4 linked regions of the Solanum lycopersicum genome follow. The protein of the gene in region 3 interacts with the protein of the main gene of each other region in a pairwise test. Links are inferred from orthologs where the notes say so. Each region holds a gene or a part of one and is shown on either strand. Other genes may lie near its edges.

The links.
Region 1: the proteins of type 2 DNA topoisomerase 6 subunit B-like (region 3) and meiotic recombination protein SPO11-2 interact in binary tests that used the Arabidopsis thaliana proteins (3 or more experiments, as listed by UniProt). The link is inferred for Solanum lycopersicum from reciprocal best matches to the Arabidopsis thaliana genes AT1G60460 and SPO11-2.
Region 2: the proteins of type 2 DNA topoisomerase 6 subunit B-like (region 3) and meiotic recombination protein SPO11-1 interact in binary tests that used the Arabidopsis thaliana proteins (3 or more experiments, as listed by UniProt). The link is inferred for Solanum lycopersicum from reciprocal best matches to the Arabidopsis thaliana genes AT1G60460 and ATSPO11-1.
Region 4: the proteins of type 2 DNA topoisomerase 6 subunit B-like (region 3) and DNA topoisomerase 6 subunit A interact in binary tests that used the Arabidopsis thaliana proteins (3 or more experiments, as listed by UniProt). The link is inferred for Solanum lycopersicum from reciprocal best matches to the Arabidopsis thaliana genes AT1G60460 and RHL2.

What each region holds. Positions count from the first base shown.
Region 1 is NC_090807.1:66,786,288-66,790,800, forward strand, and holds the start of meiotic recombination protein SPO11-2, read right to left. Parts: upstream 2,967-4,513; 5' UTR 2,837-2,966; intron 2,180-2,836; 5' UTR 2,159-2,179; coding exon 2,081-2,158; intron 1,879-2,080; coding exon 1,795-1,878; intron 1,448-1,794; coding exon 1,318-1,447; intron 1,240-1,317; coding exon 1,102-1,239; intron 1,000-1,101; coding exon 911-999; intron 419-910; coding exon 290-418; intron 219-289; coding exon 124-218; intron 1-123. Other genes in the region: uncharacterized protein, read left to right, coding at 2,967-3,602. UniProt on the Arabidopsis thaliana protein: Component of a topoisomerase 6 complex specifically required for meiotic recombination. Together with MTOPVIB, mediates DNA cleavage that forms the double-strand breaks (DSB) that initiate meiotic recombination.
Region 2 is NC_090806.1:69,637,973-69,642,513, reverse strand, and holds the start of meiotic recombination protein SPO11-1, read left to right. Parts: upstream 1-1,567; 5' UTR 1,568-1,668; coding exon 1,669-1,723; intron 1,724-1,851; coding exon 1,852-1,951; intron 1,952-2,832; coding exon 2,833-2,906; intron 2,907-3,300; coding exon 3,301-3,402; intron 3,403-3,683; coding exon 3,684-3,757; intron 3,758-4,190; coding exon 4,191-4,207; intron 4,208-4,541. UniProt on the Arabidopsis thaliana protein: Component of a topoisomerase 6 complex specifically required for meiotic recombination. Together with MTOPVIB, mediates DNA cleavage that forms the double-strand breaks (DSB) that initiate meiotic recombination.
Region 3 is NC_090805.1:43,449,482-43,453,332, reverse strand, and holds part of type 2 DNA topoisomerase 6 subunit B-like, read right to left. Parts: intron 2,896-3,851; coding exon 2,787-2,895; intron 2,651-2,786; coding exon 2,575-2,650; intron 2,481-2,574; coding exon 2,460-2,480; intron 2,096-2,459; coding exon 1,923-2,095; intron 1,080-1,922; coding exon 932-1,079; intron 1-931.
Region 4 is NC_090808.1:1,314,280-1,318,036, forward strand, and holds DNA topoisomerase 6 subunit A, read right to left. Parts: upstream 2,161-3,757; 5' UTR 2,055-2,160; coding exon 795-2,054; 3' UTR 634-794; downstream 1-633. Other genes in the region: pentatricopeptide repeat-containing protein At5g02830, chloroplastic, read left to right, coding at 1-58. UniProt on the Arabidopsis thaliana protein: Component of the DNA topoisomerase VI involved in chromatin organization and progression of endoreduplication cycles. Relaxes both positive and negative superturns and exhibits a strong decatenase activity. Involved in cell-elongation processes.

The sequences.
Region 1 (4,513 bases), on a different chromosome or scaffold from region 3:
TTGTTACAGATTAGAATATGTTATGAATTAATACTTGAATGGACAATCTCCTAGCAGCTATTCTGTAAGCTAGAACATCAGAATAAAGTTCTATTTGAAGATGTTTATAAATCTTCACGTCACCTAGTTGCAATATCAGGAAATCCTTTGGCAGTAATCAGAATGCATGGGATGTGATTGAATACACGATCCTCTGCTAGTCGCTGGAATATAGCATGCTAAAAAGTGGAACTAGTTTTAGTTTCTTGCAAAAATGATTGACTAGAGTTCCCAACAAGTGATAAAATACCTTTTCCACCATGATGATGTATCGAGCATCTGTTTCCATGGTTAATTTTTCCAGCAATTCCAGGTCTCCTGATATAGCATAACCCGAAGATCCACAAGCAGAGCAGTCAATAACTTCCTTGTCTGGCTCCTATCTCAGTGGTGTAAAGAAACAAACTTAAGTCATATGTCCATCTTTGAAGAAAGAAATACCAAGTTCTAACTGTTGGATAAACTACCTATTTCAAATTCTTGAACAAGCTTTATATAGGAACTTAGAGACTTGTACATCATTTAAGTAATAGGTTCATTGAGTTTTGGCACAAATTCAAGATACAAAGCAAAATAGTTGATCATAGACGGCTACCAGCAGCTAGCTCTTATCAACTATAGAAATTTGGAAACATTGAAAGTTTTGACTAGGTTGGCTCATGTTGAAATCAAACAATCGGTTGTGCCTCAATCATAAACTAGTTGAGATGGGCTATATGAATTCTCTATATCCATTTGTTGTACATGGCCTATTTCATTCCAATATGACAGATCATGTTACTGGCCAAGTCAAAATACTAATACTGCTACGCGTTTGATTAAATTAAAATATAAACATTTGAAATTACAACCAAAGGGTTGATAATAGTACCTGTAACAATAAACGGCCTGCTATTGCCCCTCTGCTTGATGCCATTATTCCAAGGCTGTAACGGCTGCATCGAAGCAAAGCCACCAAGTCTGTTCCTCATAGATAGTAAATGAAGGACCTCGTGTTAACAAAATCAACCGAACACACAGATCATATTCAGATATGATGAAGAAAGAAGAAAGAACAATGACCTTGGATGGTCCTATTAACCTGCAATTGAGAAGTGAAGTAATCTGGTGAATCACAGAGCAGCTTGTAGTATAGCTCTCTCTGTGTCACCCTCTTTTCCTGAACCAGAATTTGGTAGCACATCTCCATAACCTTCCAAACTTGATCACAAAAACATTGCCAGCGTCATTGATTTGTCTAATAAGTAATTTGATGGTAAGAAACTTGTAGCCTTTTACCTCTTATGAATGACTTAGCACTATTCTCTCTCGTCAAAGAACGCGTGCAAAAAGAATGGGACAGGAAGATCCATGAATCACCGGTAAGTAACCCACGGCTCACTCTGCTATTGCTGGAGTTCCTACTGATCTGCATCACATATGCCATATATAAATCATCAACTATGCCTCTTTTTGACGTCCACTATATGAATCATCTATATCCATTTATGTTCAGGCCTAATTCATCCCAAAACTGGTAAGTCATTTGTTCTTTGAGGTGACAGAGAGGTTCACATATAAATCTCCCAAAGTTGCTTAATTAAGAACAATAAGCATTCTGAACAATTAACGAAGCATCAATCCAATGGATTTATCAACTTTTTTTTGGATTTGTTTATAACTTGATGATGCTTACAGCAGGCATATGAAGTAAGCTAAAAGTGCAAATTATAGAGAGATTTCGTTTCGAAAAGATGAAGATGTAAAATTTCAAACCAGTGATAGATCAGAAATTGACGGAGAGTTTGAACTTAGAGCTTTAAGAAAATTCAGGACCGCAACTTCGATTCGAGCTCGGACCTGAACACAGAAATTCGATTATATCAGAAAACAAATACATGCTGCAATCGCGACATGGTTAGAACTTTGAATCTACCAGTTCATCTTTTCCCATGGACTAAAATATATCGATCCGATTTAATTTAATTGAACTTCCAAATGAAGCAATTTATACATTCAACACTGCTAGAAATCTGCGAATGTTTTGGTGACGGAGAGTTACCTGTGAAGAAGGAAGGATATCGGCATAGCAGAGGTGTTGATCGGAGAAGAAAATGGTTGATCTGCAGAATTCTCCCATAGCTTCAAAATGGCGGTAAATCTGCAATTTTGAATTCAGAGGCTAAGCATTTATATAGTGTTTGATTTGGCCCACTTTTGCATATCCGGGTGAATTTATTCTCCTTCATTTTATATTAATTGAATTTTTAAAATATTTTTATTTTTGTCAAATGAACTTAATTGTTTAATTTTCAAGACTATTTTTAAAATGTTCTTTCAATTTTATTATTAGTATTGAAATTAATTATTAATTAATGTTTAGTTATTTTAATCATATATTTAACAATACAATAACAATAAAAATAGAAAATTATGTCTAATTTATGTTGTAATTTTCTTTTTTTAAAAAGCGTGAAACACCTCAACGATTTAATTGGACAAATTTCAATCATTTAATTGTATAATTTATCGTTTAAATGAGTTAATTTTTAATTTTTTCACCTTGAAGCCTAGAAATTAAAGACCACCACAAAATAGGAAATAATTTATTAGCTTCAATCGAATAAATTTAAAAAATCTAGAAGAATTAACTTAAACAAAAAATAATCTGTGAACTTTTTTTTTAATTATTATTAAAAATAATTGTACATAAAAACACATAACAAATTCATTCCCTCTAAAACAGAATTTGAAAAGGCCAACTTTTTTTCGAAATTCAAAAAAAAAAAAAGAAGTCTAAACCAAATGGAATTACTACCTGCTCTGTTTCTGTTTCGTCTTTATCTTCTCGTACACTTTACAGTACTATTCATAACAAACTTCTTCCCATTTCCATTTTTCTCTTCCTTATATATAAAACCATTTCTCTGTAGACAAACAACAAAACAATGGCGACAAACAGCAATGAAATCGACCATAGCTTACTTACACTGTCTCTGTCTTTTTCTCCGTCTCCCGTCGTAGCACCGCCACCTCCACCACCGCCACCGCCACCACCATCTCGCCGTCCACGTAAACGAAAGCGCACATTGAAAAGCGAAACGATTCCGGCGCCTTATCCATGGGCGACTAATCATCGAGCGAAGATTCACAGTCTTAATGTGCTACGATTGAATCAGATTTCAACGATAACAGGTGAAGTTCAATGCAGAAGATGTGAGAGGAAATACGAAATAGGATTTGATTTGTGTGATAAGTTTGCACAAGTAGGAAGCTTTATTTCGGCAAATAAAGAGTCTATGCATCAACGCGCACCGGATATTTGGATGTCGCCGATGTATCTGAATTGCAATTTTTGCGAACAAGAGAATAGTGTGAAACCGATCATCTCATCGAAAAAGAAATCAATTAATTGGGTATTTTTGCTATTGGGTCAGTTTATTGGATTTTGTACGCTTGATCAGCTCAAGTATTTCTGCAAACATAATGAAATCCACAGGACGGGTGCGAAGGATCGTGTTCTTTATCAAACCTATTTGTGTCTTTGCAGACAGCTTGATAATACTGGCCCGTTTGATTACTAAAACTATGAAAAAAGTGTCAGCAATTTGGGATGAAAAGAAGGGCTAGATTTTAAATGAAAAGGCTACAAGTTAAATGGGATTATTATTGCTAGGATGATTAGTATTTAGCTTTAGTTGAAAAAAGGTTTTATGTTTTTCTAGTGTAGCCAATATTTATTTTGGCTAATTAAAACGTAGCAATAGATATGTTGTGTTCTTTTTTTAAAAATTGTTAATGTTAAAGTTAATTTCTTGTTCAGTGATGAAATATCGTGTTTTGTCACAGGTTTGTAAGAGGGTAAATGGAAAGTTATTTTCCTCATTTACTCTTTTAATAAATTTATTTGTTTATTTTATCTTTTATACTTTATTCGTTCATTTTTATTATATATTTGGCATGATATTATGAAAATATTTATTCTATTTGTTTTTGTTTATATGTTAATTTTTATTTCACAAAATAAATACATAAATGACACTTTCATTTTTATTTTATATTGAAAAGTTATTTTTTTCATTCTTTTTTATATGTCACCTTTATATTTGTAAGTATATAAATAGCATGTATTAAAATTTTAATTTATTCTAATCATCATTGAACTTATTCTAATACATGTTATTTATGTACTTACAAGTGCAAAATGAGAGAATTTTAGTTTTGACAAAGTATATTAAGACAAATATTTTAAACAATTTCTTAAGGAAAAATATTAAAATGATTGCGAACACACCCTAAATCTTTGTTTGCTTTGGAATGGTTTCGATTAAGTCAAGCCTTTTCCAGTTTCCAATAATAACAGTTATGAGTAGTAATTAAAAGTGCTTAACGAATACTTATCATAATTTCAACAAACGATGCATTTTAATTATGCTTTTAATATTGTTACCTTCTTCTTTTTTAATTGATATCAATATAGTTGGGTTGTTACTTT
Region 2 (4,541 bases), on a different chromosome or scaffold from region 3:
TCCAAGTTACTAAAATAGTGAAATTTTTTAATGAGATCGGGTGGTTGATCTCTTATAAAGCAATGATAAACGAGTAACAAAGGGAGTGATAATGATGTCCTTCGTGATTGAGCAATATTGAACTTGCCGGCGAGTAGTTGTCATCGAAATTTCTCCATCGAGGGATAGATAGAGAGAGAGAGTTAAAATCGAGGGAATAGAGAGAGAGAGTTAAAACCAGAAAGAGGAGATGAAACATAGAGTCATAGAAGACAAAGTGAGACCCACTGGTTCTATTTTTTTTAATTTTTTTTTTGTTTACGCACCTTTGTTTTTTTAATTTGTCATGTTAGCCGTTGAGGTGTTATTCAATTCACTTGCAAATTTTCTAAGGGAGTACTTAAACATCCGTAAAATTACAGTGCTAAAGTGAGTTTTGGTGACAAGTTTGAGGGGGATTTTATGTATTTTCTAATAAATAAATGATTTTCCTACTTATTTTTTAGCATTTGGTTACTACAAAGAAAATATGAGTTTTTTGTCAAAACCATCCCTAAACTATACCACAAATTTAGATTACAACCTTCAAATATTTAAAAGCGAACAGTTTTTATCTTCTGTTAGATATCGTCAAAAAATTAAGGGATCGTACAAAAACATGAGCAGTTCATGTGACCATCAATAAAGATTTCCTGCATAATTTCGTTACTTGCTATAAAAAGTTCTTGAAAAAAACATATTGAAATGTGTGAGGATACTTGATCTGCTCTTTTTCTTATTTAGTAACAAAAAGAAGGTGGAGCTTAATTATCTTACCTTTTTCATAGTCAAACTGTATTTAGATCAATAATTTTTTTGGCCAATCTGACGTTGAAGTGATCAAAATATTGATTTTGTCTTGTATTTGAGTTTCATTCTACATTATTCAAAGTGAAAGTCTCCAACAAATGTTGTTCTAGAATATTCAATCTCGAGCCGAAACCTAGGTCAAGCAGTGGTTTGAGACTCAATCTCAATCATGATTTCAAATCGAGATCGGAAATCCAACCTCGAGCCGAGATTATTGGACCTTAATCTCAAGTCAAGGTCGAGTACCAAATCGAGGTCAAGTCAAGTCTTGAATTGAAATTGGGGTTGAGTCTCGAATTCAAGACTAATTCAAAAATTAAAACAGAGGGGGCATCATGACTTAAAAAGAAATAAAAAACCTATGCAATATAACGCCATAAATTTAATCAATGCATCCAGTAAGTTATGATTAATACACCCTCAAGCAACTAGGTAGGTCCGCGCTACGTCTCGAATCAAAGTCAGTGTTGGAAATCATGAAGTTAGATCCCAACTCAAGGTTGGAAATAGGGCTTGAGGTTGAGGTCAAGCTAAAGATCAAGATCAAGAGTTAGGTATTGAGTGAGGGTTGAGATCAAAAGTTGGTTCCTTGAATGGATAGGGTTGGTGGTGAGGTTCGAATTTTTTTTCTTAATTTTAAGTGGAATAGTTATTATATCTCATATTGAAAAAATATTTTTCAAAATATTTTAAGTTAATAAAATATAAAAATTTCTAAAATATTTTTTTTTCTAAAATATTAACCTTCATGCCCAACACGCCGAGCTAACTTGCGCGCGCAGCTATAAAGCTCGGCTTTACCAATTTACAAACAACGTGAACCTGCAGAGCGAAGAGGAAATGGAGGGAAAGCGTTCAAACACGCGGCCACTAACACTCTTAAGGAAAATCAAAGGTAGCTAGCGCTTCCATTGAACTTAAATTTTTTCTGAGAAATGCATTACGATTCTCGCGTTCAATACATTGATTCTCAACAAATCTTCTTCGCGTTTAAGCCACATATACTTTGGTTTTGTTTTGCAGGATTTACTCGTTCCATTGTTGAGGATCTCGCTCGAGGTAGGCCGCCGCTGATCTACATCGAACGGTTCAGAAATTACTGTACTGACACTTCTGGAAATTGGTAAGACGCAGTGTATGTATGAGTATATGAAATGATCAGTCAAGTTATGCGTAGTGAAGTGCTTTTTTGTTATCTGTTCCTTCTTATTCGAAGATCTGGTTGAAAACAATAAATGTATGTTGCAGTTGAAAATTTCATTGCAAATAGTGTTTTAGAAAACTCAAAAACTAACACTGAATTTAGCTGTCGATTTCCTATGAATTAATAAAAAAACTACCTCCATTGGTTCAGAAATTTATCTACTGATACTTCTGAAAATCGGCAAGACGCATATGTGTGTGAGAATGTTATTTGGTTGCTTGAGTATATGAAATTATCAATAAAGTTAAACTTAGCGAAGTTTTTTTCTTCTTTCCTTCTTTTTCAAAGATCTAGTTGAAAAAAATGAATGTGTTCTGCGGTCTGAAATTTCATTGCAATTAATGTTTTAGAATTCTAACACAAAATTTTACTGAATTATTGTTGATTTCCTATCTATTGATAGAAATACAGGAATGTATGATTCCTTTCTGTATTACAAGGCCTCCAAACAGATTCTCCTTGACGTAATTGAACTGAAAATTGCAACTGATGAAGATCCACATAGGTGTAAAACGCCCCCAGCACCCCCAAAACAAACCCTTACAAAAAATAAAATGTAGAGATATCATTATTCTAAATGTCTTGCTCAGAAGAAGAACGAGCACAGTCTATACTGAGAAGTTTGTTTGTAGAAGCCATATCCTAATCCTATTCTAAGACACTAATAAGTACAATTAGTAATAGTTACGTTGAACAGAGTTCTAAAAACAATGAAATTTATTGAAGTTGGTGTTTGAATGGCTAATTAATACCATCCAAATTTTCTGATAGTATTAATGGTTTTTGTTTTATTTATGTAGCTCTTGCAGCTCCGGTTTATCGACTGGCAAGGAAGCTATTTCCTTGAAGAGGGAATGCCATGCACGTAGGCTTGGTGAGTCTAGGGAGAGTAAACAATACTTGTATATTTCATCTATAGTCCTCATTACATAGTTGACAAGAAATGAAATGATCAAGAATGGGGTAGGAATGATTATTAAAAGTTGCTATCCTCACTGAAAATGACAAAATTTCCAGGAGAACTATATTTCCCCGTTTAGTTGATTTTCTATACTTTTGTTGTCCTATATGAGCCTCCCTTTCATTGATGTTACACAGGATGCACCATGTAGGGTGGGGGACGGGGATTGGGATGGGGTAGTACAAGGTTTCTCCCTCAGTTATCTTTTCTGTTTGGTCGAATCAACTTGAAGGCACTTTTTGCTCTCCAATCTCCTTAACATCTTAGAACCTTGCATGGTTACTTCCTCTTTATGTTTTTGTTTCAGATGTTATGTTGAGAGTTCTACTGATAGTTCAACAACTTCTGCAAGAAAACAGGCATGGATCAAAAAGAGACATATATTACATGCATCCTACTGTTTTTAAAGGTAAATCTGAATCGGCCTCTGGTGTTACAAAGTTGTTACTCCCCTGTTAATTTCGTAGGACATGGTTGGACTTTATGTACTCCAGAATCAGTTTTGAAATATTCTTGTGATTGCTTATGAAGTTTTTATTCGGTGGAAAATTCGTATGTGCTGTTGTATTGTTCAGCGTTCTCAGTTGGTAGAAATCTGCCATGATTTAGATCTCTAATGCAAAATTTATGTATTCAAAGATCTCGTCTTCCTTATATGCTCATCATTTTCTTTTGCACTCCATAATGCAGAACAATCTGTTGTTGATCGGGCAATTAATGACATATGCATCCTCTTGCAATGCAGTCGGCATAACCTTAATGTGGTATGTCAATCTACTTTCCTCTCCATATCAAAATACACTCATTTTAGATGTATATCCACATGTCCTCACTATTAGCAGAGCCCGTTGAAATTCTCTTCTATTTTTATTTAGCAAGATGTTCATTTTCACAGTGGAGGATTCAATTAGGGTTCAGAATATTGATATTAGAAGTGGTCATTCTGCTACTTATACATGCTTTTGACACACGAAACGGTAGATCACAAGTATCTAACTCTGCCTTCTCTAGTGTAGTTGATTAGAAGGATGTGAATACTGTTCTCATATAGAACTTGAATATCAATTTCAGAGAATGAAAATGATATTGCTAGACTAGGGTAAACCCATCATTCAAATGATTAGTTTGTTCTTCTTTTATTGCTAGTCTTGTAGGAAACTTGACATTTTATATACTTTTGATGCTTGCCTTCTGCAGGTGTCTGTTGGGAATGGGTGCGTACCTCTACACAGTTAATATTTCCTTGCAGGAGTGTGATTCTAGACACATACAGTTTGAGTTCATTATATGCAATGTTCTTTCTCATACTTGACATTTATAATTCCCCATCTTTTCTTCTTGAAAATTCAAATGTTTCTTCTTCAGTTGATTATGTTTATACCTCTTGCATTGTCTGAATGTTGCTACATTATGTATCTAAATTTCTTTTTGGGGAGCAAAGTTACTTCATGATTGAGAGTGTTGACATAGTCTATCATGTTACAATAAGCTTTTGCACTTTTAGCAAGGTAAAATTTAATGATAACCCGGAGAAAGCATGTCAACTCT
Region 3 (3,851 bases):
TCCTTTGTGTCCTCACTTGTATTTCGTTTACTTTGGAGATTAGATATTAAGTCCCCCTCCATCGTATACTTTTGGAAACAACTGTAAGGACTAGAAATGGCTGGGACAGCCAACCTATAACTTGTATAGTTCACTTAGCAAAAACTTTTGATATCCTCGAAGTTTAATAAGCAATATTTAATTAGACTCAATACCAGAGACTATATTTGTCCACAGTATAATAAGATCGGATTATTAATGTATCCTGTTTGGTATACACTGGGTATACTCTAGATTTTAGGAAATAGTTTATTTTATATTACAATATGAAAATCACACTTTCCACATAGAATTTTGTTTCCTGATATGTAAATCTATTTATGAACATAAATGGAGCCACATGGTCCGTGAGGATTATATTGCCAACCCCAACTTGCTTGGGATTGAGACATAGTTGTTGTATGTGTAATGTAACATATCCAATCCAATGTCATCAAGATGGCCATAAAGAAAAAGGTCCACTTCTTGGCCCTCAGAAGTTCAAAAATATTTTTCAGTTATTACTCACATAAATAGCTATCTACTCCATGATGTAGGGGAAATTGCATAAATCTTAGCCTCCACACACCATAAAGTGCACAAGGTTCTTCACCTTGTGCACCATGCTTATATGAAAACAAGACATTCATAGTGATAAAAGATCCCGGAAAGTTGAAATCCCAAAGAATGCATATCTGTGATATTATCATTAGTTTTCACAATCCACACATTCTAGGACAACAAATGAACTCAAAACACAAGTTAAAAGATGTTGGGAAAGAATATGCAACATGGCATCTTTACAGTGAACTATTATCTAACATTTGATCACAACATAATTAATAAAGCAGATATTGGAATGCAAACATATTTTATGCTTTTAAGAGTCTTCTTCAATTAATCCAAAGCAAACCTCTGTTTTCATGTCTTGTTCACTGATGCTGGAAGAATGAACTAGTTCTGACATCTCATTGATAATCACAACAGCTTCCACCACCTGGCTATTTCCCTGAGAACTATCTGAAGAATTAGCAACCCCAGTTCCAACCTTCAGGTTTTCCCTGAAATAAGAAACAACGACTTTATGTACAGCCGTGTTTAATGCAATGCACATTGATATTTTCGTTTTGTTTTTGGCTCTGCACAACAGTTACATCTCCAAAGATCTTATATGAGATGCTGCAATTTTACATATACCATATGAGCCGTTTAGCACCACAAATAGATCTTAACTAAATTACATTATCAAACTTAAATCCTCCTACATCAAATTGAAGGAGTCAATTGAGCTGTCAACCAGATTTTAAATAACTTAAGTACTACTTCCTGCATGCTACATGTGATCAATTGTCTTGCCTCTACTCCTCCTTCAGTCTGCTTCTATGGTTGGAGTTCTAGCATTTCCTTTTATGTTTGATCCTGATTTTCTCTCACCTGGTCCAGTGTATCCCAAGCTTCTTTTTCCCATCTTCACTCAATCTAACTATTTGTAACCAGTATTTCAAGAAGGTAAAATCTACAAATTGTATATTTCAGAACAATAATGCACTACTTTATATCACACTGAAGTAGCTTAATGAACGGTCAGGCATACAGACAAAACCACATAAGAAAGAGAGAAGAACTGCAAATGTCACACTTTTTAATGGGAAAATTGTAGAATGAAAGGCTAGCTTAAAGTTAGTAGATGAAATAGTTCATGTAAAACAAGGAAATGACAAAGTTCAGGGTAACTATGTCAAAGTGTACTCTTTGTTATCTTTTTATATTAGCACCTAAGAATTATGATTTCAACATGTGGAAGTTAGACCTACTAATACATTATATCCAACCTTCAACAAAAACTAGAGGTTGGAATGCATCATCATTCATTAACCAAAACCTAGCACCTTTCTAGTACTTACCCAATTGAGAAGCAAGTTTGGTGCTTGCGAATATAATCCTTGAGTCCCACTTTCAAGCTTTCTATGCTTTCAATAGGAGAATATGCAGAGCTGCCCTCAATTGCCAGAATACGACTTTCAATCTGTGAACTCAAAGGATCATCACCACATACTAAGAGTTCCATTACAACTTTCTGTAAGAAGAGAAACAAGCCATCAGCCACAGAGAGGTAGTGGTCCTAGGCTCCTAGGTAACTCCTAGGAAACAGGATAGGGAAAAAGGTAAGCTTTTCAAAATATAACAAGGCCAAAGAAGTAGGTTAAAATGACATATAAAAGCTTAAAACTTTCGAATTTTAATGCGAATCTGGTAACAAAAGAAATATTTTTGACATGGTGAACTCATCCAAAATATATACACTTGCATTTAGTAGGTTCACACTGAACGCCTTGAGCTGTCTGAGCAGTTAGTAGCTATGATTTATAAGAGGGGTCTATAGAGAAGATAGTTGCATTTGATTTGAATATAAAGCATTTCAAGAAAAGTAATGAACTAACCGGAATCTTCAGAAGGATCATCTGCGTAGATAGCAATGAAAAACTGTAGTTAGAGAATTTTTCATACAATTTAGGAAATCATAGCTAGAATCAGCTGATAGACATGAAAATGAACCTTTTGAAGAAAGCAAGTAATCTCTGCCAACAAGTCATCAAGGCTCTTGGATATTGATATTGATACTTCAGTCCCACTGCAAGGTATAAGTAATTAACCATGTGCGGAAAGACAGAAGCATAGAAAGGAAGGAAAAGACTAGATGGGTATGGTCAAGAGAAAACTAATTTAAGAGTAGCATCACATGGATGGAGCCCCTGAAAATGGCATACCTGAATTTGGCACCATTCTTTGCAGTTGAGGGTAGCTTTGTCAGTCTTCCAGCAGAATTAGAATCTTTTAGATTTACGTTTAAATTGTGTATCTCACTATCAGATGTGCCTGCAACTTTCATCCCTCAGTTTAGACAACCAAATGTTCTCAATCCTATGAGATATAGGAGTACTTCCAACGTTGTCTAATTGTCAAAGGTAAGAAATATGTTATATATGTAAAACTTATATAAAGTTATAAACCTGTCATTATGAAAGATAATTATATCCAGAAGCCATTCTTCCAAAGCAATTCCAACAGTTTATTACTAGGAGATAATGATCACCCTAAGCTAAAAGACAAGTTGTGTGAGCTTGATTGGTTTTTGTTAAGTTGGATACCAACATAAAGTTCGATGAACTGTCAAACTGCATCAATTCCGCTTTTTAGTGTATACAACCTTTGTGAAGTTGACACAGATGATCATGTATTCTGTCATTAAAATTTACTGGTTAAGGAACTGTATCATTCAAGACGTGATTAGCCAGGATTCAGAGAAGAGTTAGCGATGAGACGTTCTGAGTAAACAGTTGATCCCAATTTACATTGTTCACAAGATACAAGTTAGAAAAATGAGGATGTTCAGATGGATGTGTGGGCATTCTAGGAGAGATAAGATTATAATTGAAGATATCCAGGACAAAGTGGCAGTGGCCTCCGTGGTGGACAAGCTGAGGGAAGCGAACGCCTGAGATGGTTTGGGCATAGAAGAGGAGAGGTACAGATGCAAGGAGGCGTGAGAGGCTGGATATAGTGGGTAAGAGGAAAGGTAGAGGTTGACCGAAGAAGTATTGGGTAGAGCTGTAGAGGTGATTAGATAGGACATGGTGCAGCTTCAACTTACCGAGGACACGAGGATATGGAGATCGTGGATTAGGGTAGAAAGTTAGTAGGTAGTTGAGTTCTATCTCACTTTTCAGCGAGATTAGGCTTGTCAGGAGTCTGGAAGTATCGCGTATGTTGTAGTATTAGTCTTATACATGTTTTTTTTCTTGCTTTTGATAGTTGTTATCATATATCTTTTT
Region 4 (3,757 bases), on a different chromosome or scaffold from region 3:
TAAGGAGTCACTGCAATCCTGGCTAACAAGAAGGTTAGATGCTTCTGTAGTGCAATGATGTACGAAACATGATATGTATAGATTTATACGAACTCTTTCTTTTCGTAGAGTTCTTTCATCCCTTTAACAGCCGAATAAACACTGTATATTCAATGATATACCACATGCTAAAAACTTCACATTTTACCATCAAATGTAAACAAAAGTAACAAAAGAAAATGATGTGTTCTTATTCTCGCACAATATATGTAGCTGCTTCATAACATTCCAATATTCTTGCATCATCGTGGATCAAAGAAAGCATCCTATCACAACTACACAACGGAAAAGACATGATATCTGCAAATCTTAACCTTACCTTTGTGGGGTAGAGAGGTTGTTTTCGGAAAGCATCCTGTAGCAACATATCCATCATAATCCCACAAGTCATCACAAGTAGGGCCTAGAGAGATAGGACGTACCCAAAAGTTATCCCCACCTTTGTGGGGTAGAGAGGTTGTTTCGGGAAAGCATCCTGTAACAAAACAACATATTCACTATAATCCCACAAGTCACATATAGGGTCTAGAGAGATAGGACGCATTCAAAAGTTATCACTACCTTTGTGGGGTAGAGAGGTCGACTCAAAAAAGCGCAATCAAACCAATCCACTCAAAATCATAAGAACGAAGATGCGTTAACACAACAAGACGCTCCCCATAAAAATACAGTAAACGAGATACAAGATATGCATTTAACTTTAGGCATAAATTAATACGATAAGATTGAAGTAGTTAAACAACAAGATTTGATTTTCATAGCCAATCTTGTTCTTGCAGCTTCAATGGCAAATATACTTCGGACAGATACTGAAATCCAAACGAACTCAACGCCTGAATCTCAGCCTTTTGCTTAGTCTTCACCATCAAATTCAACTCCTCAACCCACGCGGGATTCTTCTTCACAAAGTCCTCCTCCAACAAATCTTTCCCAGTCTTAATATCCTGTTCAGTCATTGGCAACCTACATTGCTCCGGTATCTTATACTTGTCCAAATCACTCGGTCTAATACCCAACCACTTGATATCCGGGGTAGTCAGATTCGCACTATCATATGACATATTCTTCGATCCACATCCGTACACTGACAAAATCTTCAACCCATAAGGATCACTATCCACCAATGCCAAAACCGGCAAATTCAGCTCCATCTTCATCTTCCTCAGAAACAACCTAGTTGCCACATCCGGTTGACCCTTTGCAGTCACGATTATACAAGGAAATCTATTGTAAAACCGATCTTCAGACAATCTCATAAACGCAGCATCCTTTTCGACTAACAATATGTACAATGCATCACTCTGCATATCACCAACTCTATCGATATTCGGAGGTATAGCTTTCCCTCCCATTCCCATTTTCGTACAATCAATCATATCGCCATTGTCACTAAAAATCAACCTTCCAACTACAACTCCTTTCTCAGCTGCAACCACATTCAAACTAGACCTAGTACATCCAACTATACACGAAACATCATCTAATACAGCATCAGACTGCGTCTGATCCTGAAACAACTTAACGTCGGTGTAGAAAAGATCACGCTTTGTGACATGAATGTTACTGGTGCAAAGCTGATGAACAAGCTGAAGGATTCTAAGAGTAATTGTTGCTTTACGAACAGTAGATACATTACCGAAGTTGCGAGCCGATGATTTGTCTTTGAGAACAATGCGGTCGAGTTCGGAGACATAGAGTTGGTTAGCGGCAGCGCGGGAAGGGACGGAGAAAGAGAAACCTTCACCGGAGAGTATGGATTTAGCTATAGTAAACGCTAACGATTCAATTTCGGACTGTACCTCATCGATTGGGAGGTCGGCGACTTCACGGCAGGTAGAGGAGAGGCCGACGTCGGAGAGGGATAGGGTTTTGGAAGTGGTGGAACAGGAGGATTTGAGTGCTTTTAGGGTTTGGAGGATGACGGAGTCGGGTTTGAGCTTGGATTGGAAAGGCCGGCTTTCGGAGTCGGAATCGGAGTCGTGAGCTGCTCGCCGGCGTTTCTTCTTGTCGGCCATCGGCGACGGGGATTAGGTGAAGCGGGAAATGACAATAAATGTGAGGATAGGTACTGTAGTGCTTAGGGCTTTGGTTAAAGTAAAGAAAATGGCAAAAATGGTCCCTAAAGTTCGGTATATGTCCAAAATAATCTCTTAAATATATTCTCGAATAATTTTCTGTCTTCGTTTCAAAAAGAATGTCTCTATTTTCTTTTTAGTTTGTTTTAAAAATAAGTCGAAAATTGATTCTTCCTGGGTCGATGCCCGAGGGGTTAATGGGGACGGACTGTAAATTCATTCGCAATATGTCTACGCGAATTTTCCCTTTTTTTTTTTTGCAACACTTTAATTTTAACTTTCCACGTGACATGTTTAAGACCACAAGATTAAAGTGCATTTTGATACATTTGACATAACTTTAATTTAGACCACAAGATTAAAATTTCTTATTTCTTTTTTTAAACTCCGTTCCAAGTCAAACTAGGTCATCCTTTTTTAAACGAAAAAAGTAGTTCATTTCAATTTATCAAATACTATCGTGCATCGAACTATCCTTTTTAATATTTGGGACAATAACAACAATAACAAAATATTTAGTATAATTCCACAGAACATGAGGAGGGTAGATACAAATCACATCACTAAGACTATATAGTGTGTATACACATTAACCATTAAAGGGGTAGAGAAAATGATGCATATATTAATCACCAAATTATATAAAAGTTGCTCATTCTTCACTCTCACGATGTGATGACAAATTTAAACGATATATACTTTTCTCCATATTTATAAACCAGTTTATCTATTTGAGATGTCTTCATGTGTAGATTTGTTCTTTTCTTCGCAAATAAAGAGTTGCTTGTTATTAATTTACTTCATTATAGTGACATTACACACAATTAAAAATAAAATACAAATGGTATTATATACTTATAAACAATAAAAATATCGTGTCTAGATACAGATTCAGCTAACTCAAGCAGTTTCTTTTCTTAAAACGAATTAATTTAGAAAGTTCATTAAATATGTACCGTATTACATTTAGGACTCAATTATCAATACTTAAAGCCATTTTCCTAAAATAGAAGCTATAGAATTAAAATTCCGACTCCACCTTGAACAACAATAAACTCCTCCTCCGTAAAAACTCTAACCAATGTAATAAAACAAGGGATGCATCTTGATTTTCTTTGCAACAAACATTTAAGATTTCTTTTATATCATATAGCACGAGAGAAAAGACATAAAGACACCATCAAAATTGTTTCGTATTTGCATAAAGAAGTGTCCTATTACCCCCACAGTGTCCTATCACCCCACCAAATTATTTAATATCTTTGTAAATGGATTATTTTGACCTCCTTATTTTGATTGGAAGAAGATGAAGAGGGTTTCATGCTAGGACAGATACAAGGATGGTAAGAATTGTAACAATGTGAGGGCGTTTTATAATAGGGAGGAACAAACCAGGACTTTCCTATATTCACAAGGATTTTGAATAGCTATTGGCCCAATATGTTTTGGACTTGGTTTACATTGTTATTTTGAAAACGGGAAACTTTCACATATAGCACTAAAAAATCTCATAAATTATCATTTGTAGCTACATGTTATACGGAGAAGAGAGACGAGCGAGAGTTGGATAAAGCTGAATTGTATATCTATATTGATTAAATTATTGTATATTATACATATGCATTTTACCAACTTGGTGTATA